2 linked regions of the Styela clava genome follow. The protein of the gene in region 1 interacts with the protein of each later gene in a pairwise test. Links are inferred from orthologs where the notes say so. Each region holds a gene or a part of one and is shown on either strand. Other genes may lie near its edges.

What was found.
Region 2: the proteins of ADP-ribosylation factor-like protein 3 (region 1) and retinal rod rhodopsin-sensitive cGMP 3',5'-cyclic phosphodiesterase subunit delta-like interact in binary tests that used the Caenorhabditis elegans proteins (3 or more experiments, as listed by UniProt). The link is inferred for Styela clava from reciprocal best matches to the Caenorhabditis elegans genes arl-3 and pdl-1.

Annotation. Positions count from the first base shown.
Region 1 is NC_135258.1:8,473,382-8,490,947, reverse strand, and holds ADP-ribosylation factor-like protein 3, read right to left. Parts: upstream 11,273-17,566; 5' UTR 10,991-11,272; coding exon 10,988-10,990; intron 10,897-10,987; coding exon 10,753-10,896; intron 10,286-10,752; coding exon 10,118-10,285; intron 9,669-10,117; coding exon 9,483-9,668; intron 9,056-9,482; coding exon 9,005-9,055; 3' UTR 8,648-9,004; downstream 1-8,647. Other genes in the region: heme A synthase COX15-like, read left to right, coding at 3,712-3,813, 4,539-4,661, 5,226-5,383, 5,837-6,023, 6,690-6,942, 7,300-7,454, 7,902-8,018, 8,462-8,593. UniProt on the Caenorhabditis elegans protein: GTP-binding protein that may be involved in protein trafficking; may modulate vesicle budding and uncoating within the Golgi apparatus.
Region 2 is NC_135252.1:5,201,876-5,219,441, reverse strand, and holds retinal rod rhodopsin-sensitive cGMP 3',5'-cyclic phosphodiesterase subunit delta-like, read left to right. Parts: upstream 1-6,363; 5' UTR 6,364-6,766; coding exon 6,767-6,810; intron 6,811-7,314; coding exon 7,315-7,403; intron 7,404-7,772; coding exon 7,773-7,898; intron 7,899-8,542; coding exon 8,543-8,648; intron 8,649-9,443; coding exon 9,444-9,525; 3' UTR 9,526-10,886; downstream 10,887-17,566.

The sequences.
Region 1 (17,566 bases):
GATACAAATTGAAAAAAATCGGGGTTGCGACACGATTCATTAAGTTTTAATGAGGGAACAAGTGAGTTAAAGAAATAAATTGAAAGAACAAAAAAGACAAGCTGCTTAAACTTCTACTGATTCGCTGGGGTTCAAGTTTGAATTCAAATAAAATATATATAGAGAGAGATTTTTAATTTCGTCAACCAAAAAAGACAGTCATCAATAAAATAGCAACAGCAATAAAATTGTTTTGGTATGTACAGGAGGGAACGATACGACCATACGGTCATCGAGGTCAGCTCCCACAAATATATGTCTACTCTTCTCCACTTTCAAATAACATTGACTGCATTTAGCATGAAAGACCGCATAAATGCGCAATACATGAAGATAGCGTAGCCATCTCTAAACCAATCCTTGAACTTCGCCCTCCAGCAATCTTGTATATATAACTGTTTATACATGTGGCCACATATACATATAATATATTATACTGGTTTGTTCAATATAGATTAGACGGGGTGACATTAGAAATGTTGAACATTTTCGTGTTATAGGCCATCATAGCATTTTGCGTAAACCCGTCTCGTGCGTGAATTCTTCAAACTCGTTTGTTTATAAACCTCTGATTGACAAGGTAATATGCAGCAGAAAAAGGGCAGATCGATTTACTTCTGATCTCAGCCTGGAATGCGCTGATGGCCTGGTCTACTTCATTTTCGCCTCCGCAAGCAGTGGGAATCACTTGGGATACTATTGTACCTATGGAAATTTGCACCTACGGATATTTGAACCCATACTAACCCTGACCTATGGATTTTAGCACCCTCATATACATTGAACCCGCGAAAATACGGGTGCAAATGTATGGGTTCAAATGTGCTGTCACCACAAAGAGACATGCGAAACATTCAATTTCTTTGATTTTGTTAACTTTTAAAATTCAGAACTATTATATAACTAACAAAAACTATGCTCAAATATATGGACACGAAATTCATAACGGAATGTTTTACCATCAATTCCCCGTAAATCACAAGGTATCCTGAACAAACCTGAACCGCCACGGTAACTTACCAGTACTTGAATCACGGTACCGGTTACGGTACGCCGACTGTCCCAACTTTTCCAGGTCCTGTGAAGATGATCTATGCTGCATGATTCAGTTTTCAAAACCGTGTTCCCATAGATTAGAAATAATACAGTGAAATTTTGGATGAAATATCAGATCTCATAGGATTCATAGAAAATTTAGGAATAAATAAAAGTTAACACAATGATAATTATGTTGACGCACAAAACGTAATCCTATATAAAAATTCCCAAGCCTGCAAATAGGCCTAAGGTTGATTCGACGGATGTTTCTGAATTTCACGAATATGTCATGTAGCTAATACATGTATTCACACACGACATGTTATTAGAATGAACCTGCTAAACGGCCTTTAGGCGTTTGTTCTGGCATCTTGAAATGAATGATTTGCTGGTCAGAAGAGAAAATGTTTGATAAATGTCAAATACTTCATCAGAAATAATTTAAATATCAAAAGAGTAATTTCAATTTTTGTCTGTCTTCAGCCCATAATCATACAAAATATTAAAATTCGGGATTTTTCAAATACTCTAATTGAAAACGAACAACTATTTTCAGCTTTTCTATGAGACACGAATACCACATGACATTACCGAATTTACACTCAATTCTACATTAGCTACAAAAGTATTTTGCAACAAGGCTAACCAGAGGTGGGATTCTATTTTTTAAACACGAGTTCTCCTTCGTATCGAACTCACTAAAAAGTTTTCTTATTTCGGGAAATGTACCTACGTCACTGCGTAATCTACATCAACACGATGCGCTTTAAATAAATATATATAATACATAACTTTCTGAACGTCAAATATAAATAACGCTAGTCTACAGAGAACGCCTAACGTCTGAAACAGGTTCGCTGATATCAGGACATTCCAAGAACAGGAAACCCTGAAAGTTGCATATTCTCTACCACCCACCAAATTCGACAAATGAAAAGCTGGGGAACACACTTGGAGGAACATAATGTTGTAAATTATAGAATTTGTGTGCGTAAAACGTGGAGTGATATTGGGGGAATTATCCGGGGTCCAATGCGCGGCGCGAAAGTGTTGTTTTTGATCCCCTATTTTCGTTCATTTAAATAGAAAAATTGTGCAAAATAGTACTGTGTATTACATGAGAACATGACCCTTGCAAAATATCTGCAGCTACAGGACCGTTAAGGTAGCTTCAGTTTGATGGATATTTTACCTGTTTCGGTAAAGATAGACTCGTCTATTGTCGCATCGCGCATTGTTGAGAAACGTGTATTTGTCTATGGGCCGAAACGTCTGTGATCTGTGTATTACCGTACCGGTACGCGAGACAGAACTGCGGCGTTCTGTTGTATCAGACAGTCAGATATCGAGTCTACGTCGTCACAATCAATCTGCTCACTGGAAGTTATTGCAGTACCGTATTGTGGTACGAATTTGCGCGCTATTACTGCATTAATGCTATAAATTTAAATTAATAATGTTGATATTCCATTGATTAGCATAATTCGGTACCGGTAATTATAGAATACGGTAGCGTATTTGGGTATGGTATAGTACGGTGTATACGTTATAGTACGGTAGTATAGTATGGTATAATACGGCGCGGCGGTGAGGCTCAACGGGCTAAGCGTTAGGAATACGCTCGCCACCGCACCTCTAATTACTCTGCGTGGGTTCGCAGGTTCGAATCCCATGCAGGGATGGTTATGTGCGAGAGGATTGCTGGACTCCTCGCCGTCGTTGGGTGGTTCACGTAACCGCTGGTCGGTTACGGCTTCCTCCACCACCAGGTCCATGCTTCCGAAAAACAAACAATATAACTAATCCCATACCCGACTTGGAATGGTAACCGGACGAGAGGCCGTGGTTCGCCAAATGGATAAGCCGTCTTATCGGCTTTCCTTTCCCCCCAGGATAAATATATAAATCCTATCCTAATCCTATCCTAGTTTAGTACCACATCCCCTTCTAGTTGGCCTGGCTCAACAATTTTTGCATATGTCAATCCTAACCACCACCTGACTACGTCATCGAAAAATTACGTCATTCCGACGTCACAGTGGCGTAATAAGGCCCACCGAAGTATGCGGATGGTCGTCTAAAATGCGCAGACGATAACCCGAAATCGAGCAAGCTATTTCTCTCGTCGCAACGATCACGATAGGAGAGAGATCGCCGGCTTTAACAAGTTCTTATCGGCGGCGCAGATGCCATTTCGGGCGATCGTAATTATACTTTGGCAACCCCTTTGACGTGATGGTGACGTCGAAGTGACCTTATTTTTTGGATGGCATAGTCAGGTAAGGGTTAGGAATAACATATGCAAAAATTGTTTTACTACCCCAACTGGAAGTTCTTGTGGTACTAAACTATACTAGACCCGCGTATTCTTCTTGGCAAAACCTTCCATCTTTTATACATTCTGTACGTTTTAAACCTATCTAAGGTTTTGTTTGCTCTCCTGATTTCATAATCGGTTTTTATTTATTTTTTTTACAAATCATTTTATTGTTATGCTGATTATGGAGTCAAATAAACTTATACTTATTCTAGTACTGCAGTAAGCTAGGGTACCGTGCCGTACCTAATCCCTGACATTTTTTCGATGATTGTCTGATTCCTGCCTTTCACCTACTGTATCACAATACAGAAAAGATGAGCCTTTGGTTGAAGTGTTCTACCTTATCTAAAGGTTTTCAACAGGCACGTCTATCTTTACTCACAAACAGACAGTATTCAGCTTTTCGAAAAAATCAGGTGGGTTTCGATTTAAAAAATTAATGAAAACAATTGGTTTTGATTCTGTTATAAGTTTTATTCTAGATCTTGCATCTCATTATTTATTGTTTTGATAATATGGTGTTAGAAAATTTAAAAAGCAGTCAGCACTCTATCATAGAACTAAGCTACAATACTATAAATACAAAAATAGCCTATAATGACGCTTTCTTGTAGCGTAATATTCAATCCATAATACGGTAACTTTGGGAGTTCAAACTGTCTTTAAATTTTAATCTAACTATGTTCAACTCGCAATTGAGTCCACCATAAAAAAACAATATCTAATACATAATAAGGCGACACCAAAAAAATCAAAATTACCATACTCGCCTAATAAGACGACCACCCCAAAATCAGGCCAAAAATTTGGGTCTAGAAAAGCGACTTATTCGCCGGGATATACGGTAAATGCTGAAATGAGGAACATTATATATTTTTTATACATTGCTTTTGCTTTGCCCTATACAAGAGAATAAATCACTTGACTTTTTGAATACAGGATCTCTAGTTGGATTACTGATTTGCTGCATTCAAGTCCATGCTTCCAAAAACAAATAACTGGTTAACTAATCCCATACCCGACATAGACTTGTAACCTGACGAGAAGTTGTGGTTCACCATATGATTAAGCCGTCTTATCTCCTTTCCTCTCCCCCAGGATAAATATGTAAATCCTATTCATTCATAAACTTTTTTTTCAGCGATCGGCTGTATTCAAATGGGTTTCACCTTTGCGTAAGTCTGCAGATATTGCAAAACAACTCCCAATTCATCAGCCTGGTCAAAAAATAATCGGATGGTGGCTTGCTGGATGTTGTGGCCTGGTTTGTTTATTTCTTACATTTCTCAGTTAGTAAAGAAAGGCTGACATGACAGTCTTATGATTCAAATCATTTCGTACTCATTTCAGAATGGGTAGATAGTATGCCTTAACTTGAGTTAATTGATGAGTTTATATGTGAATTTGCATAAAAACACTGTCATGAGTCCTCAATTATAAATGGGAAGATTATTGACAGAAGAGTGAGTGAGTCACTCATGATGAGATGGTATTTTTATAACATATCATCATGCAATACAATACTGTTAACCGAAGGGAATTCGACAAATTGGGAGTCTTGAAAAAAAAATGTTGTAGACAAGCAATGTATGAATAGGAAAAATATTAAGTTTAGATTGTTATAAAATGCTGCGCAACTGAATAACTTTTCTGACTATGGAGGACAGTAAAATGGCCCAAGGTGGCCAAAAATTTGTCCTTTGATATATAATTTATGATCTTGAAGGTCTGTATTCTGACTGTATAATATGTCTGTGTTTTTATAGATATCAATTCAAAAATGTTCCTGGTGATTGCCACTGATTTATTTTTCTTTTTGTCAGGGTAGGTGGTTGGTGCTGTCGTTTTGGGTGGTGTGACTCGACTAACAGAATCTGGGTTATCTATGGTTGATTGGCATCTTATCAAAGGTATGAAACCACCAACTTCACAAGAGGATTGGGAGAATGAGTTCAACAAATATAAACAATTTCCTGAGTTCCGAATGTAAGTGTTTGATAAATATTCTGATAAAATATAAATACTGTGAATAAAATGAAAATGCAATGAATTCAAAATAGGAAAAATTTAGGAAAAATACTAAAAATATAAGTCAAGTTATAAAGTTGTGTCTGTTTAAAAATCGAATATTAATAATCAAGATGAAGCGAAGTAACACTAAAATCCTAGATCACTTCATTAATGGTTAACTCTGGTTATCAAATACTTGAAGAGATTCGAGTACTCTAAATAAAATTACTTAACTAACCACGACTGCGATTCGAAAGACCTGTGACTTGACTTGTGACTCGGTTTTAAGGATTTCTACCCAACAATGATTAAGCTGACCTGAGGCTAGAAATGACTTGCTCTCAGCCTGTGAGATACCCAACCAAACATTCCTCACTTGACTAACATTAGGTTAGTTTAATATTAAAAATCAAGTTTTTACATTTTCAGATTGAATCATGATATGACATTGAAAGAATTTAAATTTATCTGGTACATGGAATACAGTCATAGAATGTGGGGAAGATTAATTGGTGTCGTCTATCTTCTACCACTTGCTTACTTCTGGAAGAAAGGTTGGTTAAATCGAGGAATGAAAATCAAGTCAGGATTACTGGGAACTCTTCTTGTTTCACAGGTAGTATTTTTTAGAAGGGAATCTGGAACCAGGTCTCTGAAATTAGGAAAATTTACAATTGAAAAACAATTGATGGGGGGCCAGATGCTTCCAGTCACTTCTTGGCTCCTGCTTTTTTATTGACCTTCGCTGCTGCCTTGGTTTTTTTCACATTCCCGGTCTTTTTGGTAGTTTCCTTGATGACTCCAACAGCAACAGTCTGTCGCATGTCGCGGACGGCGAAACGACCAAGCGGAGCATAATTCTTGAACGCTTCGACACACATTGGTTTGCTTGGAACAAGTCTGACCATAGCTGCGTCACCAGATTTCAAAAATTTTGGTTCAGCTTCCAGTACTTTACCAGATCTTCTGTTCATTTACAATTGGCTTCAAAATATCTCCATATCGTAAAAAATTTCACTCTGACCCTTGCTCAGGGAAAATCAAATATTTATAACAAAACTTTCGCTAACCTTCTTTAATAGACATTTAAGAACACTTTATATCTAAGTAAACTTTATATCTTCTTTAATTTCTGTAGAAAATTTGCGTCCTTTATACCCAATGAAAGCTTGCAGTTCCGACTTCATTTTCGCAAAATTTGAAAATAAGACTCCAGCTCCACTCCACTCTGACTCTAAATTAAGTGTTTGTCGGTCCTTAACTAGATTTTCTCTTTTTCAAGGGACTTATCGGTTGGTTCATGGTTAAGAGTGGACTCGAAGAGAGGTTTGCAGATTCAGATGTACCGAGGGTCAGCCAGTACAGACTCGCTACACACTTGGGTTCAGCATTTCTACTTTATACTGGGATGCTATGGATGTCATTAACGCAATTACTTTCCAAAAAGTCTTTAAATTTATCAACAACGCGAAAATTGGTGCTTCGATATCATGCATATGGCTTAATGAGCCTTGTTTTTGTTACTGCTCTATCAGGTTGGAATTTTTAGTTTTTGAAGTTTTTTTTATTATTGAAGTTGAGGCCAATAGCATCTCCAGAAGTGTGTGTACGAGTATGGAGGTAACTAATTTTATTTGCCTACTTTACATCAAGTTGTGGGACTGAAGCCTATGGGCAAGGGGTATATTCACTTGCCTAACACAGACAGTCCCCAAACTCATAATAGAACTGAAATAAGGAAATTCAGAAAAAAATTATGGCCTGTCTCGGTACACACATGACGGGAGTACCCTTTTGCTTGCATATCGATGTTTGATAGCTGCCTGATTGGGATACACTAGATATCTTCGATTATTGTTTGATTTCTTCTGAACACATGTTTTGTTCTCCAGGTGCATTTGTGGCTGGTCTAGATGCAGGACTTGTATATAATTCATATCCCAAGATGGCAGACAGGTGGATACCAAGTGACCTAACAGCGTTCACCCCGAAATGGCTTAATATATTTGAAAATCCTACCACTGTGCAGTTCGATCATAGAATATTAGTAAGTCCATTTCATTCAAAACTAATTCAGTTATGGATTTTTTGAGAACATGCTTGCCACTGCACCACCGATACCTGTGCAGCTTTGCATCCTATGGGGATAAGGCAGGAGTGGGCATATTACTATCCGTGGAAATGGCCCACTGAGGTGTTTCATCTGGCCCATTTGTGTCTGTTGAATTTCTGTTGAATATGTCGATAAAAATAATGTCATAATGACCCGAATTGTTACTTAGTGCTTCTTATTATTATATAACCATTAGCCCAGCTGTTGTAAATAAACTGTTTTTTATTCATAGTTTTTCATATCGAGTTCTAGCCCTCCGTCGCAGTAACCAAGTCTTTTATATGAATGTAATAGGCCCACTCAAAAAAGTAATTGCCTACCCCTGGGATGGGATTGTTGGACTCCTCGATACAGTTTCACCGGTATTATTTTATCTTGCAGGGTCATCTTAGTTTAGCATCAGTCATGAGTATGTGGTATATGGTACGAAGATCTTCAGGTGTCCATTCACGCGCCATACTTGCATCTAATTTTATGCTGGGAATGGCTTTTATTCAGGTGAGTTGTTGTTAAATTAAATCTTATAAATTGTATAATAATTTTTCATGAGGAAATTTCCCCAAATCAAGGTGAAGTGCCCCCACTCAGTGATTCGTCTCCAAGAGATGTTATGGGTGGCTACTAGAGTGCCAAAGAGCTGCCGAGACTATAAATCATTATAATGTGGAATTGCCTAAAAAAATTTGTTTATCCTTGGAAAGAGCAAAGTGTGTAAAACTGCAAATTATGGCCGCTTATTTGATTTTGGAGAAATTTATGCGGGTAGATGGCCGCTTATTTGATTTTGGAGAAATTTATGCGGGTAGTTATATCACTAAATGGTCCATATCCCCGCACACTTAAGGTAAACAGAGGTGCTTGCCTCTTGCCTTCAGCAATTAGTGCTGGTGCGCCTTGTTCAGTAATGAAGATCTGGTTACAGTTTTCTAACATATCTCTAGGTACTGTTGGGAGTAACAACTTTGCTGACTTATGTTCCAACATCTACAGCGGCCATGCATCAATCAGGGTCTCTTACTCTCCTATCATTCACGACATGGCTGGCTCATGAGCTGAGACGTGTACCTAAGTAAGCAAAACTGACTATTCCACCGCAGAGACTATGCACAGATGAAGAAACAAAAGAATGGCAGAATTCTACAAATAATATTGAATTTAATAAATATCAGCATTTTTTTACAGCTTGCAAATATAAATACAATTATGTCATTTCCTAATGTACCATTGAAAGCACCATATACACTTTTAGGCAGGTTATGTCGATAAATTTAAAAAGCAAGACGTACAGAAAGGAGGTTTGTTGCTATAAACTAGCAAATACTTAGAAATATTCGGTCTGATAAAGAACCAAGATATATATGCACAATGAGCACAAACGATGTACAGATTTTACAAAACGCAGTGATGGTGGAGAACTAGGGATGCCACTGGCTGGATTGAACCTGAAGTCCCATTTTACAATTAAACAAAAAGCACAAGGTTGTTCACTTTTTCTTGTGTTTAGTAACATTCTTCATCACCCATTCCATGCCATCCTATGAGAATAAGTTAAGAAAAAATATATTCACTCGTGCGACGCTAGGGATGAAATCTTACTTTGTATTCTGGTGTAGTATTCATGCACACGTTTGGACGATACAAAAGCCAGAGTGCGAGTTATGCTTAAATTCTCATATTGGAGTTTCAATATAGGCAAAGAGAAACTAGTGGAAGCCACCTACAACCAATCACTTGAATACTAATATGTTGTTAAGTAGAGAATAACTTTCCCAAGGCCCACACACCATCTGGCATGGTTGCAATCAATGGTTACTGTAGTTGTTGAAACTTAATATTTATTGCTCCATCTCAATTTACTTATGCTGTGTCAGTTTGCGTATCAATGAATAAATAATATATAAGGTAACAAATAATTCATAGCACTGTCACAGTTCGGCAAACACAATGTCTATTTTGTCGTACCTGAAGACCTTCTCCGCTTAATGCTGAACATCCTTGTATATTCCAATTTCTATCTCGTAATTTAGCCAGTCCGAGTCCCTCTGCTACTTCTGACGCCTTGGCTGAGTGTAATAAGTCCTGCTTGTTGGCATAGACAAGAACTGGAACTCCCAACAACTTATCTTCATTGAATAACTCCTCCAATTCCTTAGGGTATTGAAAATGTTACAAAATTAATTCCTAAATGTCAAAATCGTTTTTTTGTATTCAGCCGGTTCGCTAATTTTACGAGATCAGCGAACATTTTGTAACAGAACCGGGTGAAAAGAACCGGCTGACAAAAAAATTGAATTGAATTCCACCACTGTATATAGCCATTTGATAACTCATATGCTGGAAAAGCCTAAGCCATTTTTAATCAATTTCCTAAGGGATGTATTAAACAAAGTCTAAAATTTTGTTACAATTTTGGCTATAAAGATGAACACCTCAAACTGATGGTGGAACAACATCTCCATATTTTAATAAATAAAGGGACCCTAAGAAAAATCTTCAAAAATTTGGTTTTGCATCACTAATAGTTGATAAAATGCTACATGTATCCATAGATCAGTTAAGATTGTAGAAGTCCTATTGCTACAAAATATATTACTCACTAAATTTGTTTCCTCTAATCGAGTTCTATCAGCACTATCCACAACATAAATCAGCACATCCGTGTTTTCGAAATAATTTCTCCAATATGGTCTGATTTTCCTTTGACCACCAATATCCCACACATTCAATTTGAATCCTTTTGTTTGAACACTTTTTATGTTGAAACCCTGCAAAAGTTTTTTATAACATAACTCACTTGGTTCATATATTTTAGGCGAGGATATATCTGTATATTATGGTACATTATTAAGTGCATCTAGTACCAACAAATAAATATCTACTGTCTTCATTAAAATGATTATTAAATTCATCACAACTGGTTAACCCATATAATAGTACTCTTTAGACAGATAGGTTTAAAAGCTTTCCTGACAGCTAGGTAAAATTAGACCGGTTGAGTATGTAAATATGTGTGTATTTTTCCATGGATATTTATTCAGCCCATCTATGGCCAAATGTCTTATAGGTCCACATGAATTTGTGAATTATTATTTTCAAACAAGGCTACAGTAAATCAAAACTCAGTCTTGTGTTCGGGAATTTATTAGAATCATTATTACTACGTAGCCTACTATTAGATAAACTAAGAAGAAAGGTGCCTATCCGCTGTGATATTACCAATAAAATTTAATACCTGTGTGGGGGTAATGTGTGTGACATCTTCTGAAGCTAGACTCTTCAAAATTGTTGTTTTACCGGCATTATCAAGACCAAGCAAAAGTATCCGCATCTCTTTGACACTGTCAGATTTAAGTTTCCTCAAATAACTCAATAACCCCTGAAAGTTGTAGCAAAATATGGATACATAGTAAATTAAATAAATAGTAAAATATATAACTTGTAAAAGCGATAACGCTCTAATGTCTCACCATTGTATTCCAAGATCTTCTACAGTATCACAAAAGTTTAGAAATTGTTGTCAAAAATCATGCAGAAAAATTGTAAATTAATCTTCAATTTGCAGTCCAAAATTTCTGTCGAAGATTAAGAAGTAATGAACAAAATTCTCGTCTCAGTCACAATTTATCAATTTCGTTTCCAATCTATTCCAAGAAGAACGTCAGCCACAGCGGTACGGACCCTTTTTCTGTTTCTGTCTTTTCCTTGAATACTGGTTATGTTGAATATTAGTGAATGTAAATATATCAGATCTGCAGAATAAACATGAAATAAAGCTATAGTTGAAGTATATAATCAAAAAAGCTCGATCCCATAAGAAAAACGCCGTTCTAATTCAGTAGAAGTCCTAAACACCTGCTATACTTCAAAAAATGGCGTTGTTAGCGACAGAAAGCTAGAAAACAAATAAACAAACCATCTGATTTGTCACGCACAGCTGACCAATAGCATCACGTGATCGATTATTGTGGTGGTGTGCCGGATTATGCGATAGATTAATTTTAAATTCTATCAATCAAAGATTAAATCTCTCGAGGTGTTGTAAAATACAGTTATTACTGGTTATTATTTCGTTTTAAAATTACATATAAAAACTGAGGTTAAAAAATTAGAAACCTATATATTACATTTACAGTATTGCCATATCATTGTGGGGAGTCGGGAACCTCCAGAAGCGCATGTCAAGATAATTTTTGCAAAAGTATATTATGTATTAATCACATAACTAACAATGCTATAAAATACACAACTTATTAAATTAGTACACGTCGGACACAATACTGTATTTCAATAAATTCTGTTTGCTCGATAGCTTTATGCTAAGATTACTATTCGCCGCCATGTCGCTTATTTCACAGTGCTGAAATGATCGTTCGCCTTAGGCCGCGAGACGAAGCCGTTTATCTTTCAGTTTCGTAGCGCACATAGGAGGACTACTTGGAAATAATATCAAAATGTTCCTTAGAAATTTAGTAACAAATAATATCTTGTTCCCATTTCCAAAAGTTGCACGTTTTACAAAAAAGACGCCTTTACTGAAAGAAATATGTGCTACCCCTTGGGTTATATCATTGAGGTGTATATATACACCTCAATGGGTTATATACACCTCAATGGTGCTACCATCTGTCCTATATTCTCTGGGCAACATTGGCCAATGATCGGTGACTTCTGCATGACGGAACAATTAAAATTTGATCAGCCGATGGCGGCTTTTAGGTATTAGTTAAGTTATGCTAAGACGCTATTAAAAACTATGAGTAAGTTATTAAACACCCTTAGATCCTAATAGCAATTTTAGTTCATCACTAGCTCATATAACGTTTTTAAATAAGTACTGTGCGGCGAAAGGTTATACTATACCTTGAAAGATATGCCACAAACAACGATACGGTATTTTTATGATTGTATGAAAGGTACATGATTAATTTAATGACGATTCTTGAATATTCAGCAGACTTATACTACTATATAGGCTACTACAGCATATTTGCTTCGGAAAATAATGACCGTTTTTGTAATGCACGTTTGCGAGGAAGAAAGAAAATAACCAATTTTACTGATGTTAGGCCGTCTTGAAGATATTAAGCGATTGAGAGGTGAGAAATAATGTATCAAGTTGTAGGCTGACAGTTGATGTTTTAAAAAATACAAGACATTTCAAACTGTGCGATTCATCTAGATCAGTGTAGATATAGTCTAGCATGAAAACACTGCAGGACTGTAGTACATCAGATGAAATTCCATGTGCAGTATAAGAAGTATTTAATGGTATTTTTATGTTGTGTCAAATATGATTTTATTCGTCATTTCAGATACTGCACTACAAAGAAAACGCCACCAATGTTCTACCAATCCAACCTAACGCAGGCTATCGTCGCTGCTGCGATCAGCGCTATACCTGTAAGAATAAAATGGATCGAAAAAGGTATATGAAAATCATAACAGTTGCAAACAGCTTAGATGGCTATTCATATTGAAATTCTTTGGCATTCTTCTAAACTTGAAACTTCCCATCGCACTGATGTTGGAAGACTTGAAACTCATTAAGCTTTTTTCTCAACTATGAAGATCTTTTGAGTTTAACGGGGCATCTATAAATAAAACTGAAGAATTTGTTCTATCACTGTATAAAGAGGATATAAAAAATGTAAATGATACAAGGGCACGCCTTTCCAAAACCGGCAAACATATGGATTATACTCTCACACCCAACAATGATTCACTACAGAAGCATGTTCTGAGGGCAAATTACTGTTGTCTAGAACCGAAGCCAATTATTCCCCCACCTATTGGCCATGAATGGGGTTTTGATGATGGTGTTTTGCGGATTAACTTGATGGATCCAAATCAGTTATGGAGTTGGCAAACTGCAAGTGTAAGAAATATAGGTGTCAAAATAATTTATGCATATGTGTCAAAAATAACCAAAATTGCACAGAATTTTTGTTTTGTGTCGACTGCAAAAACCACAGTATACGTATAGACATAAGGGAAAAGTTGATTTTCGAGAATGAGGATGTCGAAAGCAATTCATAGGAAAGTGAATTATATATAGATATGCGTTCGTGGCACCGCCACAATATGCGCAAATTTTGATGACGTCATACAAAAAACTAATCCCATGTAGCTCACAGAAATATTTAAAATAGATAAAAGTAATAGCCTTCTAGCAAAAAATACAATCTTTACCACTGAAAATTTCAAAGCAATCGGTCCAGGGTCCTGTAGCCTAATTAAAGGGAAATGCGATTTTTTCACAACTATAAGAAGGAAAATTCTAACATAAAAAACGAGAACAACAAAATAATAAAACGACTTTGTCCAACAACATATTAACAAAACGATTTATGGGTGCACTTCTTCTCCAATTATCAGGTCTTATCACCGTCATTCTTGGCAATCCCGGACGAAATTAATTACGCGATATCGCGTTGATTCGAGGCACGGCATGCACGAATGAATGAAGGTGGTTCAACAGGGACCGCCGAAATTAATCATTAATCTAATTACACCTAGGAGTTTACATTTAAAAATAGCCTTTAAGTTACATTGCATTTGGAATACATCATCATATTTGACACTATTCCTCAATTCCCATATGGCCGATTTTCCACATTGAATGATTGATTCCTCTTCACTATGAATATTATTAGAAATAATTACCTCACAATTGATTTCCCTTATATTGCACCACTGCCAAAAGTCTAATATCCAATCAAAATACCAAAAGAAATGCATGCAGGTTTCTTCATTTTCATTACAAAATATATATATACACATTTTCCATTTTCATCATCGAACCAATATTTTAATTTGTCTCCTGTGGGTAGAATAGGCAAAATTTTCCAACTTAGAATTTTGTACTTATTTGGGAGTTCATATTTGATTTTTGAATGAAGTTTTCTGGCATAATTTCCTAATTGGCAATGTGCCACACCTAAGACAACATTGATGATTCGACAATAATAATTTTTACTATCATCAATGAATTTCGCCCCTGCCACAAATTTACTACAATTTGAATAGAGTTAATGATTTTCAACCAGTTTTTATCCCGCGATACAATACTGTTTCCTACAAAGTCTCCTAAAATATTCAGCTCATTCTCAATTTGAATACCCCTGTATGATGGCCCTATGTTTAGCCGTTTTGCTGATCCGCACAACGTTATGTTGCATTTTGGAATATTTATTCTTGAGCCTGTAGCTTTCTATTTTAATATCTCGTCTATAGAGGATAAACTTTTTAATGTGACAATAGTGTCATCCGCAAAACCTTTATATTTTACCCTAGTACCTGTACGATTTCGAAAACCTATAATTGCATCGAATGTTGGATGCTAACAATTCGGACGTTATTTATATATAAAGGTGGGGCAAGGGGACAACCTTGTCTAACTCGTGGTATACTGAATTATTTCGATAAATATCCATTTGTTATTATTTTTGCATTGGCGTTACCCATCTAATCAAATAATTGCCAAATTTCAAGTTTTTTTTTAATATTTTGAGATTTATTATTATTATATTATTTTAATTTATTTAATTTATATTCGAAATTAAGTAGCGTAATAAGTGTCCATTTTTCATTTTATTTTTATATCCTTTTTTATATATTAAAGTTATTAAACCAAGACTTGTGTTCTGAGACAGCCACGATTGTTTAAGATAACTATTATAAATTAGCACAAGTATTGGGCGAAATTGTTTCCAAACTTTTGTTAGACCATCCAGACCAAGGGATTTATTTGACTTCATTTGTTTGAAAGCTTATTCTAATTCTTCTTCTGTTAATTCGCTTAGCAGTTCTTGTTTTTGCTCGTTTGACACTTTTTGCTGATTTGAATTATTTAACAAAAGATTTTGACAATAAATGTTCGAATTTTCATCACTCTGATAAAGCTTTTTATAAAATTTTACTTGCTTTTCCTGAAATCCATCACATGTGTAAACTAAAGTATTGTCAGGCTTTCTTGAAAATTTTTGCTTTATACCTTTGGACTTCTCTAAATTTAACAAATATTCAACATTTAACTCTTGCCCTAATTATTGCCCCTTCGATTTATGTTTATAATACTCAGTATGTTCCCCAGCTTTTCTTTTTAGGGGGGGTGTTTAAAAATTTAGGGGGTGGTAAATAATTTGCTGTTAGATATAAAACTAGGCTATTTGTATTCTTAAAAAAATGGTATGTATTTAAGAAACGATGTAGGCTACATGGGGGCCCCCCAAGTTGATTGACGCGAGCAAAAATCCACAGCAGAATGTAATTGTAGGGCCAGAAAAAGGGAGCGAGGAAAAGTGCGGGACGACACGCTCAAGCGCCCTGAGAAAATTTTGAGAAATAGGCACCAAAATAGGCTCTAAGCTTGATTTTAGATACACCTAACATCGCAGTTTGTTATGTAATGAAATCAATAAATATAATATTTAGCTGATAGAATTCCCGGGGAATAGATAACAAGCACGGCTTTCAACCGTAAATATATATTACTACGTTTCAACAAGTAATTTGCAAGTTGCAACTGATAGTGACTAATGAAGTTACTTGCTCATCTGGCATTGTATGAATGGCTAGTTATGGCTTGTTTTGTTACACATTTCTAATTTTTTTGAACATGTTTGTTTGACTTTTGTATGAATTAAATTTTGGAATAAGCTCGTCAACTGATCATAATGTTGTATTCCTTCAGAACCGAAATATTTTGTTGGTAAGAAGACAAATCGCTGAAGTTTGATTCTTTTCAATAAAGAAATAAACAACGCTGTCATTCATCTAAAAAAAGTCTGTTTTCAGTGCCTAGTTTTCGTTTTGTGACATCTTTAAGCTTTCTTAAAATACGGCTGATATCTAAAATACTGCAGTGTGTAATCCTAATACCCATACGTATACATAAGATACCGGAATAATTCAATTGTTACGAAATAAACGTGCTTAAACTGTGATAATGATGTAACAATAGACGGTATCTAAAACTCAAAAGGTACCACATGAAGGGTTAAACTATTTCACTCAAGTTCGGCGGGCCATTTTAAATCGTCACGCGGGCCGTAATTGGCCCGCAGACTGCGGTTTAGAACCCCTCAGTGTGGAATCGCACCTCAAAATTAGGGGGGGTGTTTGAAATTTTAGGGGGGGTGTTCACCCCCTATAGGGGGGGGGGGGGGGGGGGTGTAGGGAAATCACTGAATTAATACTTCATAATTTCTAATTCTGTGTCACGTATTGTTTGAAGAGTCTCTTCGTTTTCTATCTTGCATTTCCCTGTATTTTCTCTGTATTTTACTAGTAATTAATCTTCCCATTGATAACTGTTTCTTTTTTTATTTTACTACAATGAGTTGCCCATATTCTTATTTTGGATATACATGTGTTCCAAAAAGCTCCTTCTTCAGCATTATCAAAGTTACTTAGTTTAATTGCCATGCCTTAAATATTGATTCAATTCTCTGGATAAAATCCAATCAGTCGTTTATTAAATTTCCAATAACCCGGTCCTCATTTTATGAGGACTTCGTTTTGATTCCGACATCTTTGTCCGTAAGATGTTCATCTTTTCTTGATGAGTTTTCATTACTAAAACAGTATTGCAGTATTGATACAATACAAAAAATGTGGATCGTCGTCTTAAACCGGGATGGGGAAAACTACAGCAAAGCTTCGCGTCGCCCACTGGCGACGTAAAAGGATTTCGCAGCTGAGAGCATTAATGAAGTCACGTGACCTGTCGAAAAACAAGTTCGCAGTGGAAACCAAAGTTCCTCCGCTCCATTCTGCATTTAAGAATCACGTATTATAACTGACACTGTCAGAACTAACCGCATTTTGTGTGCTTGTCATACATTTCTAAAGCCGTGAGTACGTCTTTATTCCTGAGCATCCGTACCGGTATACTATATCCGCAGGTCGCGGATAATAATTAATAAATAAACAGCTAAGTCGCCGAGAATAGAAAAAGGCGATCTTCGCCGAGTTCGTTGCTTTTGTTATGTGCGTTCGGGAAATGGCCATCGGGCAGCGTGGTGTGTTCACTTGTGACGTAAGCA
Region 2 (17,566 bases), on another chromosome or scaffold:
ACCTAATTTCGGACACGCCCTGCACCACGCGTGATTGGAAGTTCCAACGTGTTGGTGCACAAGCTGGGAGACGGCGGCTACATATCTGGCGAAGGAGGTCAGAGCGCTTCGGCGAAACGGAAAAAAATGAAGAAAACCCCGAAACATTTGCAAAAAATATACGGACGAGAGGGGTATCAAGACACATATTTTTAATAACGAGGTTAAATTGGTGTGCATAACAATGTAGAAAATGCGCATGAGGAAAATCTTCTTTTATATAAACTTGAACACCATGTTTCGACCCACTCATGACTGCCGCGCCGTCATAAGTTTGAGCTATCAATTTTGACTTCGCGTTGTAAGGCTGTAACACTTCTTTCAGTACAGCCGATATCCCGCAAGCCGTGCGATCAACGATTGGTACAAAGCTGTGAAATCTCTCGGTAAATAATAAATAAATTTTATACATTGAGTCGAGCAAATCATTTTGGATATCCTTAAAAGTCCCTTTCGAAACAGTTGCGGCATCAAGATGATCTCTCAATACTGTATCTAGGGATGCGGTGTATTCCACCATATCCAAAAATACCCCTCTATTAGAAGAGCCAGCCCGTTCATCGTGCCCACGAAGGGACAGCTCGTGACAACCAATGAACTTCAAAACATCTATCAATCGACCGAGAACATGGCGGTTTTTCTCGACGTTTTGGTTGTGCCGACGAATAGAAACCGCGCGTCCTTCATCCAACTGTGCTGCAATATTAACATTTTCGAATGTTCGGTATTTTACTGCATTGTCCAGATGCTCCATAGAAGATTGATGATCCCTGGCACGCTCGGAAAGATGTTTAAGATCTCTAAAACCAAATTTACACCAACGTGAGTCTGGGGCGGTAGCAAAAAGTAGGCAATAAAAACAAAAAAGTGCATTTTTGTCCTCGCTGTAACACAACCATTCGTGTTTTTTATACCAAGTTTCTGCGCAGAATGTACGCCGACGCTTTCCTCCGTCATGGGATTGTTCCAGTGAACAATTTTTTGGTTGATAAGGCCCAAGACGTTGTACCTCTAATTTTTGTTCCAGCGGCAGCTGCGAAAACGGAGTGCGAAGTAGTGCATCAACCTTATTCATTATGAGGTCTAAGGCTAAGAAATGCGAAGCCGGATAGAGGTGAGGAGCTCAAAAGGAATGTGGAAAATCGAAAGCAAATGGACTAAAGGTCTCTAACTGATTCAAATAGCGAAACACGCGACAAAAACGAAGGCGAGGAAACTATCAAATCTTCAAGCAACCAACGAACGAGAAGGAATGCGAGAATATGTCAACACATTTTTGTAAGAAACGTTGGCATTGTGTCGTCATAATTTCGGGGCTAGCCCCGATGATTTTGTAAAAGAAACAGAAAACAAACGCGGCGAGTGGAAGATAAAAGAGAGAATACGATATACAATGAGCAACCGGGGCAAAATCGGCGTCGCCCCGTCGACGTTCGGCGAAGGCTTTGCGAGCGAAAAATGAACCACGTCGGGAGAATATGGCTGGTGTAGACAGTCTGTGCAACCGATATTGAGGTATTTTTCGAATATTTTTTATTATACCGAAAAAACAACCGGGGCATTGCCCCGGTTGGCCCTATTGACGCGCCGCCACTGATTTTAGCCATCATCAACGACAACATCCCAATTTGTTTAAGATAAATTTCACAAATTATTTTCAAATTCAAAATAGAAAATATTCACTTTTACTTATTACACAAGTCATGATCATTACCATCAAGGCACATAAATGAGAGCAATAATATTTAACACTCAAATTCAAGTTAAAGCCACTACTCAGTCACATAGTCTTTCATCCAAATATGAGGTTTACGATTTCGACGAGGTCTGGTTGCAACACGATTCACGATTATTTTTAGAAGAGTTGAATGAATGAATGAATTGATCTTCATTCGTGTTTGTAGTCCTTTTCAGCATATTCTTCAGAATCTTCACCCACGATTCAGCTTTTCCATTCGCTTGTTGATGCACATGCGAAGAGCTTGCATGCTTGACTCTTCACTCTCTCATGAATTCGACGAGTTCAGTACTTTCAGTACTTTCACAATCTGGGATAAATATCCATGATAAATACCATGTCTGGCAAAATGACGTTTTAGACATATGATGATTTGACGTTATTTATATTCTGGACACCTTCTTCAAGCGTTTTTATTTTGGTCATGTTTCTTCATTTATCGAACATGGCTTAAGGTTCTACACTTCACCCGGAAATTATTTCTATCATTGCACGGGGGACATGTTTTCACGTAGACAGGGCAAAAATATTCAGAACCTGCGCCTTCGTCCACAAAATTTGAACTCTTAGTTTGCATTCGGAATTCGCTTTTTGTGTTGCTGAGCTAGGTTCATATTTCGGCGTTGTAAATTTTGAGTCGACAAAATTCGTTGCTCGCTTTCCGATGATGCACGAATCTTGGATGCAGAATTTCTTGTAATTTGCCATTCAATGTACATACGTTTTTCATTTCTTATCATTCGCACCTTGTTTTTTAAAATTACAGGAATCGCTTTACTACGAAATTCAACGAGAAATGTATTAATATTGTCTTTGTACTGGGCATTGAAAAAGCGAAATGTCTCTATCACTTCATTCTTCCGGAGATTATAGTATTCAGTAGGGCTGGGAATGGTTAACCGGTTAACCGATTTCAGATGGTTAACGGTTACGATTTATTTTAATCCTTAACTGACATCTCAGGTACAAATCATCTTCATACCGTACAATTTCTTCAAATATGATTACGTCATCGCAAATTTATCTCTTGTGGCATTTAATGAATATTATTAACTGTGTGAGTAAGGACTGTGCATAATGGAAGTACCAAGATTGCTGATTATGGAAATCTGACAATGATGAATTCAGAATCAGTTTTCGGTCGATTTCGAAATAGTGTTTACGATTTCATTGCAAAATCGGATATTCAATGTCATACAACAAGTGCGCAGTTGATGGCGTTTTTCTTTATATGATATATACTCCGAAGTAAAATTTGCACATCGAACACTGATAATTTGTGACATAAATGACGTTTAACAACGGAATCAGGTATTCTAAAATACTTCCACATGCCCGAACCACGCTGCCTATCTCGTGCAGCAGAGTAATCATGAAACTATCTCGATTCGTGAATAATTTTAATAAGCGATACCGGGATAAGAACACGCGAAATTGCTTTATAAGCATTGAGACGTAACAGGCAGAAATTATAGATTATTACGTCAAACGTCACGCGGCGGTTAACCGGTTAATTTACCCGGTTAACGGTTAAAGTGTTTTCCCTGAAATTCCCAGCCCTAGTATTCAGCCATCTTCTGTAGTCATCTTCGTCTTCAGTCTCACTATCATTTCAGCACCTGCAATATGAGATTATGGGATTTTGTTCTTCCTTTAGGTCCGCTGGCTCATGAAAATATTTGATCTGGCTCTTCCATTTCTTGAATGCTCCTGATCGACAGTAAGCGAATTTCAGACACCGCTGCCACCATGTAAATTGAGACATTGCGCCAGCTGAAGGATGTCTTAGGCCTAGGCCTATGTCAAATAGGCCTTTTTCAAAAATTTGGTGAGCGGTCTCGGATAGCAACTTTCCACACTCAAAATCAGAAGAAAAGAGCCTACAAAACTATTGAATGGTAGAAAGTTTGCAAAAAGAAAAGGATCCGAACTCTGGTAGAGTCCCCAACGTGAATATCTATTTCGACGATCATGGCCGCCGAAATACCATGCGCGTCGCGTTTGCATTGTTGTATCCGATTGAATTTTGTATTGTATTGGAATTTAGATACCCAGACTTATGCTGCACACTCTTCGTATATCTTTTCTCAGATGTATAACCTATTTATGATCTTGGTATGATTTGGGTTTATGGGAATAAACAACATTGACCCAGGACTTCCATTGTCTAAAAAAACTCTAAATCCGGCCCTGTCCTTCGACATGGATATTTCCTACATACCGATTTGTTGTTATTAAAAGATCATGTCGACACTAGTGCTTTATCTCAGGGCTTCCCAAACTAGGGGCCGCGAAACGAATTTTAGGGGCCGCAAAGAGAACACCAATTTTACACAAAATACCATATATATTGACTATTGTACTTTTTTCAGACTCTTGATTCGAAATACAATTATTATACAAATAGTGTAAAACAAAGATTTCACGATTCCGAGTGAATACATCATCATAATACCGTGTTTTTCCAAAAATAAGACACTGTCTCCAATTTTCTTTCGAAAATAACACTAGGGCTTATTTTTGGGATACAGAATAATGAGATTTTTTTATTATATATATATGCAAAATATGAATACCTATTTCCATTTACTTATAAATAGCACGTTTTTATTTTAAATACCTGCTACATATAGACTTTTACCCATTTAAAAAAGTAGAAAATATTTCTTGCTATCGACTGGGACGCAGTGGTTCTCGAACTTCATTGTATTGTGACGCCCTTCAAAAATATGCTCATATAAACGATTAAACAAAACTTAACGACAGTCAGTGAAATCGCAATTAATGGGCCTTGGTAGAAAAGGCTGCTTTATATAAATACGAAATCGCAAAGAAGTTGGGAGTGCGCAATGCTTTTGGAACCAAGGACAAATAATCTTTATCTACAGAAAACCGAATTTCCAGAATAAAACATTCCTATTATAGCAACATCACAGGTAGGATCGATTTAATCTTTCTTTTTTCCAGTGAAAGTAGAAGATATGGGTTTTTGAAAGGTTCACGAATCACGAAATTTTGCGACGTCCTAGCAAAATTAAAACGACGCACTTCCACGAGATTGAGTCAAAAAAAAAAAAAAATTCGCGCTATCGACTAAGTCCTTTTTGAAGCCGAGCTCTTATATTGAAATCTTTTTAAAATTCAACCTTGGTCTTATCTTCGGGGAAACACGGTAGAATGATGGCGCTTGCATAACAATGCATATTCTGATCGTGAAACCCGATTTGCGGTTTGCATAACAATGACGGCTCTAATCGTTATGCTAGCGGTTTCCGAAGACGATTTGCTGAGTGCGCCTCGAAACATATTACATATCATATTTATTCTAAATGTTTAATTGTTTCAAATGACGTGTTTATGGATCAAAGTCATTTTGCCGTTCTATGTGTTTACTTTCTGTACGTAGGGTCTATTGTTACGTAATATAAGAGATGAACCCTACATGCTGCAACCAGGCAGTGATAAAAAAGAAACGTTAACTTTTTGCCTTTATTCATCGGGCTTACATGATTAAAAACCTCAAAAGACATTTAGTTCATATTAACGATGACAAAATTGTGTTTTGTTTCGAGGCAGTATATTTTTCGTGTAGGTGCGCCATGAGTTTTTTCCCTGATAATTTGGCGTCGAACAAAATGCTGCCTTATGCTAAGTTTGATCAATTAGAGTGAACAATTCGAGATAAGGACCATGCCGTCAGTAGCCATACAACGTAATTCATCATTTAGGCCTGTATAAACATACATTGAGCCTTGCTATGCAGCAAAAAGCATTCGTACCCATTACACTGAATAATTGAGAAACGTTAATCTGAATAAATATATGCTTGTTTTTGTTATTGAGTAGACATGTTAAAGTTGAGAATTAGCTCTGCCAATAAAACATCAAAAAGGCATAATTCGAACTGTTTGGCATTATTTAACGTGGACAAGGGCCGCGAAAAATTTTACTATATTAAAAGGGGCCGCGAGCTCAAAAGTTTGGGGAGCCCTGCTTTATCTGGTAGAAATTTACGTTTGGCCAATGATGATTGTGACAGCACGAGCAAGTTTGAAGGCTTGCACATTTTGAGTAGACTTCTCGACTTCATGGGTATATTGAATTTCGTGGATTTTTTTTTGGATTAATTGGTTTTGTTGTTGGTAACTTTGAATTTTTGCTCGAGTACTCTTTAAGAAAACCAAATTTCACTTTGCTCACGAATGTTCAGGATAAATTTCACTGTAAATGTTCATATATATCGACCGAACACAGGAACATGACAACAGCAAATCTTTGCCAGAAATGTGACAGGCATAGGGGATTATTGCGTTTCGATATAATCCCCTATTTGTATGTTAATCTACTAGCGATCGAATTCGCTTCGACACCATTTATCAATACCGAAAACTGCATACCAGTATGCAACGTTTTTCTGTCAGTTATCGATCGTTTGAACGTGGCCTACACATTATAAAATGTGTACTGTGAGAGACAGTCAGTAAGACGCCATCTTGCCTCATTGTGCGATGCCTTTTCGAGTTTCGTCTGACTGCCTGGGGTATATCGCTCTACAGTCTAACAGTAAATAGCAACCAAGGGCTCGTTCTGCTGTATTGCAGTGTCTATATCTATACTAGCAAGTAGTGAAGTTAGTTCTGTAGCCACAAATAAGGGCACTTCACTAGGATATGTATTAGTAGGATGGCATTATCTTCACTACTCTTAATAACAATATATAGAATATATATATACAAGAAATGCTTAGTCATGTTAGCACAAATAACTGAATACGGGCACTGGGATATGTATTAGTAGGATGGCATTATCTTCACTACACATAATGACATAGTCACATTACAGCATTTGTAATTAGGTACCGTATTCTGAAACTGTAATTACTTGTCCAGTTACCGTATATCTGCAACAAAGGCTTGAACTACTGGACTTGAGTTATTCGAGTGACAAAATTAGCTTAGTACGTGGTAATTTAATACCTGGATTACAAATATGACTACAGAAAAGGCCAAAAATATATTGGAAGGTTTTCAACTGTAAGTTTTTGTTCAATATTTACATTAGGCAGTCTTAAATGATTGAAATACATTGGATGATCGAAATAAAAATGGAATTGTAATGTTTCATTGTAATACAGTACCGTACTTTATGATATTTGCATATGTTTTGAAATATTTTACTGCAGGTTTTGATGTTTTATATATTTCAAATCACTGCTGTGGTTATTCATGATCCGTCTTGATTCTCAACATTGAGCTTTCTATGAGAAAATTATCTTGATTTAGTATTTTTCTGTTTTCCTTTTTTACTGTTATTGATTACTTTGTTCAAATAACTTAGGGAACTGAATTCAGCAAATATTATTTAAGAGCTGTAGGTAAATATTCACAGACTGTAAACAGCACTAAATACAGAAATAGCACACAAATATGAATTATCATAACTGTCTGTCTGTAAAAAATCTATGCTACAATCTTCTGTGTATTTAAATATTTATTTATTCAAGATTCATGTATCAATTTTCAACTTTTTATTTATAGAAATTGGATGAATTTGCGCGATGCCAGTTCTGGCCGAGTTTTATGGCAGGGCAGCGAAGATTTGTCAAAGCCAGAGCAGGAGCACGAAGGTAACATGGTTTGCAGAATTGGTAAAATATTGATGAAATATTTTTTCCCCATCTGTATTGCGCAATATATGTATTAAGTTGGGTCAATTATCATAGATGATAAAAGTTCATTATGCCACCACAGCAAATGTTGAAAAAGAAATTCCAGTCCAGTTTTCAAAATATAAGGCTACCACAAGACAAAAACAAATTGATTAGCAGACCTCAGCCTATTTTTTTTGTTACTTTTTGGCAGTGATGTTCATGGTGAGCGGCTTTAAAATTTGATGTTGTCATTAAAATTTATTGGGTCATTTATGCTCAAAATTAGCTGTGTAAATATGTGGCCTCACATCCTCTGTTATATTTGTTTATCAATATTATTTTTAGCTCGAGTACCTAAAAAAATATTGAAATGCAAAGCTGTGTCAAGAGAAATCAATTTTTCCTCAAAAGAGTCTATGGAAAAATTCAGACTGGAACAAAAAATAATTTTCAAAGGAAGAGTACTTGAAGGTATATTTTGCTACATTTTTGTTTTTAGTAATTCTGAACTAGTATTGGCATTTTAAGTCAATCACTTATTGTGAAACACATTGTTGTTACTCACCGTGTTCTGTTGAGTGGATGACCCTTTACTGAGAAACCTCAACCTCTCTAACTGACTACTCAATGAGGGATTTTTAGCATTTTGAGTATACATGCGTTTTATGGAATAGTAACTAATTTATTCTGAACTTCCTAATTAATCACATATTCATTTTGCAAGAGTATGAATAGGTATAATTTTCTAATATGTTCTTGTTAAATTCTTGGATACTGGTTCCCGTAGTGTGTGTACCAGGTTAGGGTTAGGCCATAATTTTATTCTGATTTTCATCATTTTAGTTCTATTACGAGTCTGGGGCCTGTTGTGTTAGCCAAGTAAAAATACCCCCTGCCCATAGCTTGCAGTCCCTTTATACAACTTGATGTAAATTAGGCGAACAAAATTAGTTACCTCCATACACGTACTTCTGGAGCTCCAATTCTTGTACTAACAACTGTATTATCGAACCATACCTGCCTAACAAAGTTTATATCTTCTTTATCTTCCACTGTTTAATAGTTTTATAATGTGGTATTTGATAATGTATGAATCATAATTCATTATATTGCAGAATGGTATTTCCAATTTGGATTTGTGATTCCTGATTCAACAAATACATGGCAGTCGACAATTGAAGCTGCACCACAGGGGCAAATGATGCCTGCTAGTGCTTTAAGGTAACATCTTAACAAGTTTTGTTCCGCTCTTTGGAAATACTCAATGTACAAATAATATCAATTTAATGAATTGGATGCATATGCTGAACTATATAGAAAATAGTTATGTTTCAGGATGTGATGTTTGCTCTTTCATTTTATCCAGTGCAGACATTCAACCCCAAAGGTACTCCCGTATTTGTGTATCCGGTTAGGGTTAGGCCATAATTTTATTCCGGTTTTTCTTATTTTAGTTCTATTTAGCCATGTGAATATACCCCCTGCCTATAACTTTCAGTCTCTTTACATAACTTGATGTGAAGTAAGCGAACAAAATTGGTTACTTTCATATTGGTACACACACTTCCCTTTCTGATAAATGGGTTGAAAATTATATTTTTATTGTAGAAAAGAAGACCATGGGTCATAGCTATTTAAAAAAATTTGGCATCAATGAGAAAGTTGCTGTTGCAAATTTACTTATAATCTTTTGTTGGTATTGTGTACTTTCATGCTTTCACATGCACCATTCATATCAGGACTGAGGCAATTCTGGTAGTCCATTTACTCAAAAGCGCGCTTTGCATTGTTATGAACTGCCAAAATGGTGCGGCAATCTTTCTGTGGTTTTAAATGGGTTTGGAAGAGCATTACAGTCTGAAATATTTGCATTTTTCAATAGTATTTTAACCGCATCATAGTCACTACAATCCAGCTCTATTGTTGCTTGAGATTTCTGTGGATGTTACGTATTTGCTTGATCCTAGCTATCGATTATCATATTCTCTTTACATGATTTTGCTTTTATTTTTTCAGCGGAAATGTTATTATAGAAACCAACTTTTATGATGAAGATCTTCTTGTGAGTCAATCACGTGTTCGAGTATTTTATGTGTAATGTCAGCTTCCCCTGCAACTGAATATTCACACTTACCTTATTACTACGAATGGTCAAAAAATCACAACATTGAGTGAATTATCAAAGTTACAGGGAATGACTATGCAAAATCAAATGGAATCTACGAATTTAATTTTTAAGCGCATTTGACTAAGCACTGCAATAGCTAAATAGATGTTAGATTCACTCAGTCTAGATATTCACTGTTAGTTTCATTTATGATATTAAAAATTAGGTACTCCCGAAGTATGTGAACCAAGGTGGCGGACACTGAACCGTAGTATGTGTACCAGGTTATGGTTAGGCTATATTTTCAGGTACGAATACTACAGGGATCCCTTGGGAGTCACATAAGGTAAATTGGAATAAAATTATGGCCAACCCCTAACCTGGTACACATACTACGTTCTGGTGTTCGTCATCTTTGTTCACATACTACGGGAGTACCAAAAATTAATCTGTAATCCTATCATCATTCGTATGTGATGTTTTAAATCAAAACGTGAGAGAGTTCAAATTTTTATTTGTTTATGTGTTACTGAGTCTCTATCTATAAAGCTGAATTGAGGCTTTTTATTTGTTGCCAAGGAATTCATTTTTTAAGTTTATTCTAACAAATTTTACTTATTAATGGTAAAGGGTACATCTGACCAGCAGTTTTGTCATCAATTAGATATTTCCAAGATGCAACTGTGGCGATTGTACAATTGCAACTTGTTTTAATATATTATTTCTATCTTATGCACTTTCATATGTCTACAATTTTACCAATTCAAGACAAAAAGCGGGTGCTAAATATTGTACAGACATTTTTTGTATTTTAAGTTTTTGTAACCAGTGTTTCTCACAAGTGTGTGTGTGTGAATTCTGTAAAAATGCACCTGTCCGGGAAGGGACCTTGTTCTAATGTGATAGTTGTTTCGTGATTTAGCACCCAAGGCGGTGAAGACTCAATGTCGATTTGGTATTTTTAATCGATTGCATCTCAAATTATAACATATTAATGTAAAAAGTACAATGTTTTCAAGTAATATATTACTTTTTGCTAATTAAGCAAATGAATAAATAGATTTTTTTGTTTTATACATTTTCAAGTACTGTTGGCTCCCTGTGTCAAAGCGTTTGCCTCTATCATTATTAGGTAGCATGGTATACGTTTTATTAGTTTTAACTGCAGTGCTGTCAATTTATATACAGTTAACCAAAGTAAAGGTTATTGATTGTCATTTTAAGCACCGTAAGAGCGAAATCTTTGGAATAGATGAGTCAGTATTCCTGATCCCGAAAAAATTCGATATTTTATAGTATGGTAAATAATATAAGTTGTGTACGAAGAACAATATACTGCAAACAGCTCTTCACGATTGTTTATTTTCAATTGTTTCTTGTCAAGGCACGGGCAGGACAATGTATTCCCTGATAAAGAATACAATATACATAGTTCATAATTATGTAAAAAGGTGTTCATGTTCTTTTCCTATTTGCGACAAGACTCCGGAAATATTTACGGGTAGCTTGGTCACTGTTGTGCAACCTGCGAGGTTTCTGGTTCATCGGATGGAAAAGGAACGAATAACGCCGTCTTGGTAAAATGGTATGGCGATCGTTTCCATTTTTAAAATCCATTCGATTGTGTGACGGGTGCGCAATATGCGTCTATATTAGATGAAATCTTCGACGCACTGATGTGTTTTAACTGCGAAATGGGCATGAGACCAGAGCACCTACGACACAATTAGTAATTATCTTACATTGAGATAGTTACTTGACGTCGTTAACGTACTCGTCTATCACCATAAATATTTGTTACACCACAATCATGTATAGCTTTCGATGCCGTAAAAGGGTACTGGAATAATAATGAAATTTGTGTCCAAGGTTGTTGGAGCTCTCAGGGCAAAAGAAGCCGTGACTCTCAATCGTGAATAGAAATGAGCATGCTAGTATTATAAAACTTTGTTCCTCGTTAGAAGAGACAAAGTTCCACAAAACCAGGTGGCAGACGGATTTTTTTCAAGACCAAGACAGCAGTAGATATTTATGTGTCTTAGTTTAGGAGCGGACGTATCTGCCCCTTTCCCCCCAACAATTTTTTCGTTTATAGGAACACAACGTATTAATTCCGGCCTATAAAATGGTCATTGCATGAACACACGGTAGCATAATAACTGCATAATAGGCCCTGTCAATTGGTTCATACTAGCCACTTTTTCTGCGCTCCAGTAACTCCGCCATTTACTCGATTTATCATATAAAAAAACACGGAGGATTGCGCTGCATTGAGATTCGACTTTGTAGCAATTAACTGGATAATTTTCCGACCCATTAAATCTTTTTCATCGTAGACCCGTTAATATAAAAAAACAGGATAGTAGTCCGACCCATTAAATCTTTTTCATCGTAGACCCGTTAATATAAAAAAACAGGATAGTAGTCTAGCGACAAGTAACGGGAATTATGACCTCGTGTTTTCTGGTCCGATGAAGTTTTATCACAGCCTTGAGTGCAAATGTCCATGGGGGCAGATGTACATAAATGCAAATAACCTTCGGTCCAAATGTATATGGATGCAAAGCCCGTGGGTACAAATGTCCCTGGCGCAAATGCACGTCAATGCAAATGTCTAGAGCGAAAATGTACATGGGTGCATATGTACATGAGTGCAAATGTTCGCAGGTGCAATCAATATATATATGTAGGCTTACCATACGTCCCGCTTTAGGCGGAACAGTCCCGTTTTTAGCGTGTTGCGTCCAGCCGTCCACCATAATACACGAACATGTTCTCGTTACTGTTGTTGCTGTGCAGCGCAGCGCTAGCCCACTTGCTGGAGGTGAATGCGTTATTTTGTTTGTTTCGTTGTTTCCCGTAACGTAGGGGAAAGTGGGGAAGGTTGGGACACTTTTTTCCCTATGCAGATTTTGAGCCGTTTAATCTGTACCTTCACTTAACTTTGCGGGACTCATGCAGTGAGGGGTAAATGTAGTTTTTTATTAAGCGACTAAGAAATTCCCTTGCGACACACATCTTATCACCAAAATGTTTTGAAAAATGTTTGTCAATTGTCCCACTGTACCCCACTTGTGGGGCACATTCGGACAGACCCTGGGGCACATAGGGTCATTCTGTTAAAATTCAACGAAGTATGCCCTTAAAAATGAGCAATTAATTAGCATAATCGTCTAACTCCAAAGAACATGGAGACTTCAAATTTGAAGATTTGAGATGTTTAAAATCACCGCGCGGCGGTGTGGCTCAACGGGCTAAGCGTTAGGAATACGTTCGCCACCGCACCTCTAATTACTCTGCATGTGTTCGAATCCCATGCAGGGATGGTTATGTGCAAGAGGATTGCTGGACTCCTCGCCGTCGTTGGGTGGTTCACGTAACCGCTGGTCGGTTACGGCTTCCTCCACCACCAAGTTCATGCTTCCGAAAACAAACAATATAACTAATCTCATACCCGACTTGGAATGGTAACCGGACGAGAGGCGTGGTTCGCCATATGGATAAGCCGTCTTATTGGCTTTCTTCTCCCCCGGGATAAATATGTAAATCCTGTAAGGTTCAACCGAAATATTTCAGATATTTCAACAAAAAATTTCGCAAACAAATTAATTTATTTCCTTTCTCGAATCTAAATCTGGAAATATTTTTGATTCTCGAATATATTTCATATTGGGCTATGGGTCGAAATATACCATAATATTACACAAAATATAAAGTATGCCTAGGTCTCTAAGCATTTATTGTATCAAACATTGTCAAATTGTGCCCTGTAGAGCATGTCCCACTGAAACCCGGTCCATTGTTCCCCATAGGAAACAACTATTTTTAGACCATCACACGACGAAATTCGGAAGGCGCATCCACTCGCAGTGGACATTTACAGTGGACTAAAGCGGATAGCAGTGGACTATAGGATTAGTGTGAGAGCTGATTTTCCACCGTGCCCCATGTCCCAACGTGACCCATTTTCCCCTATCACATGTAAAATCAACACTAATTGGTCTTGTTCTGACGTTTACGTGAATGTAACTTTGAACAACGTCTTTTTGACGAAGGCGTTATCTACGGAAAAGCATGCTTGGGGGGAAATAAGTAAATTCTCAATTCTTGAAAACGGCAGGCTATCTTTCTTCCTTTTGCTGTACATAAAAAAATCTAAATTCGAATTATTTGTACCAGTATCGTTAGCGTCAATTCCTTTCTATTTTTCGAACTGAACCCGATATTCAGACAGAGAATATGCGCATGAAATCTCGATAGCAATATGGTCAATGAGTACAGCCGGGATGGCTTTAAATGTAGGCCTATGTAGTAAAATCGAGAAATGTAAATTAAAAAAATCACAGCTCACAAGGGGTCGTTGTCTTTGGAGGCGTCCCGCTTTGAAGTCACAAAAATATGGTAACCCTATATATATGGGTGCAAAAATCTGTTGATACAAATGTTGGTAGGTACAACAGTATGCGGGTGCAAATGCCCTAACCGCAATTTACGGATGCAAATATGCTGTCACCACAGTGACCGTATATGAACTACGGTCACAACGTTCTACACAGAGCTCTGATTTTGCATATAAGCATTGCAATGCATGTTTTTTTTTCATTTCAGGAGCATCTTATTTTTCGAAAAAATTGTCAAGTGATTTATCATCTGACATTTCTCCAGCAGGCTGGAAAAACAAGTCCAACGTCAAGCTGTCGTCCATTCATGAAGGCAGAATATCAGTGATGCACTATAAAGTATTGATTGTCAAAACAGCAATAAACAAAACTATAAAATTGCCAAAGTTGGGGCAAGAGCATAGGATATTTAGTTTAGACAGAAAGCCGATAAGATGTCCTAATCACATGGTGAACCACAGCCGTGCAACAGTACAGATCAGGTAAGCAAATAGCTGACATTAATCGTTCGAAAGTTATAAATTTGTATGCGAAGAATGTATGAGTTGACTAGTAGCCATCAGATGGTTGACACCTTCAAAAAGATGAATACCTATACTAAAATTTGTTGGCGACACCTAACAATGAAATGCAAAACTCAAAGGACACTGAAAGTGGAGTGGCAAACAAAACAGACGTTGAATTGAGTTACAGTTTATGTTGAAGAAAGCACGCGTTCAGTGCGGTAAAATTATGCGCAATAGTCAGCATTTTTATAAAATTCTTACAGCCTTTGAAACACAGGATAACATATGAATAAAATCAGCGCGTAATTCATGCATGGGATTATTCCAAATCAATAATATCTGGTATAGAACTTTGACATTGTCTCGTGCTAACTTTAAAATCGCGAGATACTCCCACTGGTCTTTTCTGGCAAACTTATGTGGATGCATTTATCTTCACTCCTTTCTATGTATGTAAATTTTATTTTATTGGGCGTGGATCTTGTATCATATCTGACAATCTTCAGTGCCGCACCGTCCAGACAGAATTTTTGCGAAACTAATAGACTTGAGGATGTATGATCATGTATTCTAGTCTAGGTTATGTATAAAAATGTTTGATTAAGCTTTTGTAGTTGGATTTATTGCAGAAAATACAAATCCAATTAGTAATTGGTTTGATTTGCGTTGAGTATATTCACAAACGCTTGCATCACGTCATTTGTTAGACGCACCATGCCGAACTATGCAATCATAAATCAAAGAATAGATACGTTTGCATTTTGAAATAGCCGGAAATGACGCAAATCCAGATCAATTATAATTAATTGGAAGACGGACTGAACAAAAAAAATTACAGACGCTAAAAATACAGGGTGCGGAAATTGCATTTATTCAGATTTTAGACCGATGCAATACACAGTTTACATATAGGTGGAATAGGTAGTTCGTACTTGGGTTTTTGCACCACGTCATATTTGACGGCAATGATGTTTTATATTTGAGGGGGATGTTTAGATAGTTTTACACAGAGATTTAAATTGAATCAATGGCAGAAAATGGGTCTGTGATTCTACGATCCTTTATCTCTAAAGTTTTATACAATACTACGTCTACGTCTTTATACAATCACGCCTGACAGAAATAGTTAAGAACTTCGCATTCTACGTACACAGCATATATTATAAGATAAATACGGTATAATATCAACGACAAATTTTTAGTGAAGGCACATTCACAATAGCACAATAATGCGATTGAAATTTGTGACAATGAAGGATGAACTTAGAAGTTGATAGAAAAGGTTTCAGCCTTTTTATTAAGAGTATAAAGACATTTGCCAAAACATTTATCTGGAATAGTCTCGTGCTCGACATAGCTTGAATTCAATAAATAAATGTGATATATATAAACAATATTAGTCATATTTCTGTTTCGCGTTAAAAAACGACTTCCCACTTCACGACTTTCGGAAGGTATAGTGTATCCCACATGAACGAAACAATGCAAAGCCTACTTTCTTATTGTTGGTGAAAATATACTGTCTGTGATTTACTGAACCACAAGCATCAACTCTTACGGGAATGAAACTGGAATAACATTTCACTTCTCGCATAAACAAAACAATGCTAAGCACACTGGCTTATTGTTGGTAAAAATAGGCTGTCGATGATTTCCTGAACCACCAGCAACAACTCTTACGTTGAATGAAAATGGAATTTCATATTAAACCCGAATGAAAGTAAGCTTATAACTATCATATAATATAGAGGAACCTTGGTTTTCTGGCCGCTTATCCGAATTTGACAGTGTGATGCAGTAGGCCCTGGACGTTTTTGTGGTATATATAACATTGATATGAACCAGAATTCTTCATATGTAGCCGTCTTCACGTGATTAAACCGGAACCTTCGACGAACAGTTATGTGTGGTATGGTAGATAACAACTCTAGAGTTAGTACATAGACAAGTAAGCGAACGTTGAGATAAAAAGTGAGAGTCACACGATCTCAGCAGAACATGTTCAGCCTATTTTTCGGAAATAAGAGTATCTGTACCCTTATAGCTTATACAATGTAATGTGCTTCATGCTTGGTTTTGAAAATATGAAACTCTAAATTAGCACCACAGGTATCGACATATAGACCACGACTATATTGGAAACTTTCGTATCCGTACCATTTCGTTAAGTTGCGAATGGCCTGAAATCCACCCAAGTCGATATATTGCTGAATAGTCGGCCAAAACTAGCATTCAGACTTGGCACAAACAGGTCTGTCTGCACTGTACGAGATTACTTGCATTTTCAGCCAAGTTGTACTGAATGCCGATTGCCGAGACCTATTTTTGTTGACGTTTGCAATACATAATCTAGTTTTAAATTTTTTACTGTACTAAGCCAAGTGTCGGAGATAAAATCCATTGCGCGATGCAATTTTGGTAATATTTCTCTAAACCTACAATCCTTGACTTATCACAATATTATCCGCTTAATAATGAATGAATACCACGCTAACCCACGCGTCTATTCACGTAATTATATAAGTGCTAGCACTTTCAGTGTATACTGCAGTAGGTAGTAGTAGTCACAGAGATCTTTCCTTCTGATAAAATGAAAGAATAAATAAACAAAAAACGATCTCGATTCATTTAAATTAAACAGCAACGAAAGTATCCATTTGTGATCTATCTAATAACAATGAGTTGCGACATATGAGATGACGTAGTAAGAATGAGTACGCGCTACCGGAAGAAGTGATGCCGACAATGCATGTAAAGCATGTCTGTCTCGTCATATCGGTCGTTTTATCATTGTAACAACGAGTTGCTTTCGCTTGTGAATCAACATCGAAAATACAATGCGTAGAAATCTGGATTGTTTTAATATATTATATTGTCTAAATCTAAACAGTTTTTATCTATTTTAACCTAGATTTTATTTTTCTTAGTTTAATTTTTAAAATGCACTCATTTAGCTTTTTCGGAAGGGAGCGGAGTTTTTACAGGAGGCCACAGACTCCAACAAACAAGCCGAAGCATCATGTGAAACCACGTGAAGAACAACAATCATTACCGCCTGAAACTAGCGGATTAACAGGCACGGTAGGACCGGGAATTATGGCTAGATTTCGCAGACTATTCCATACT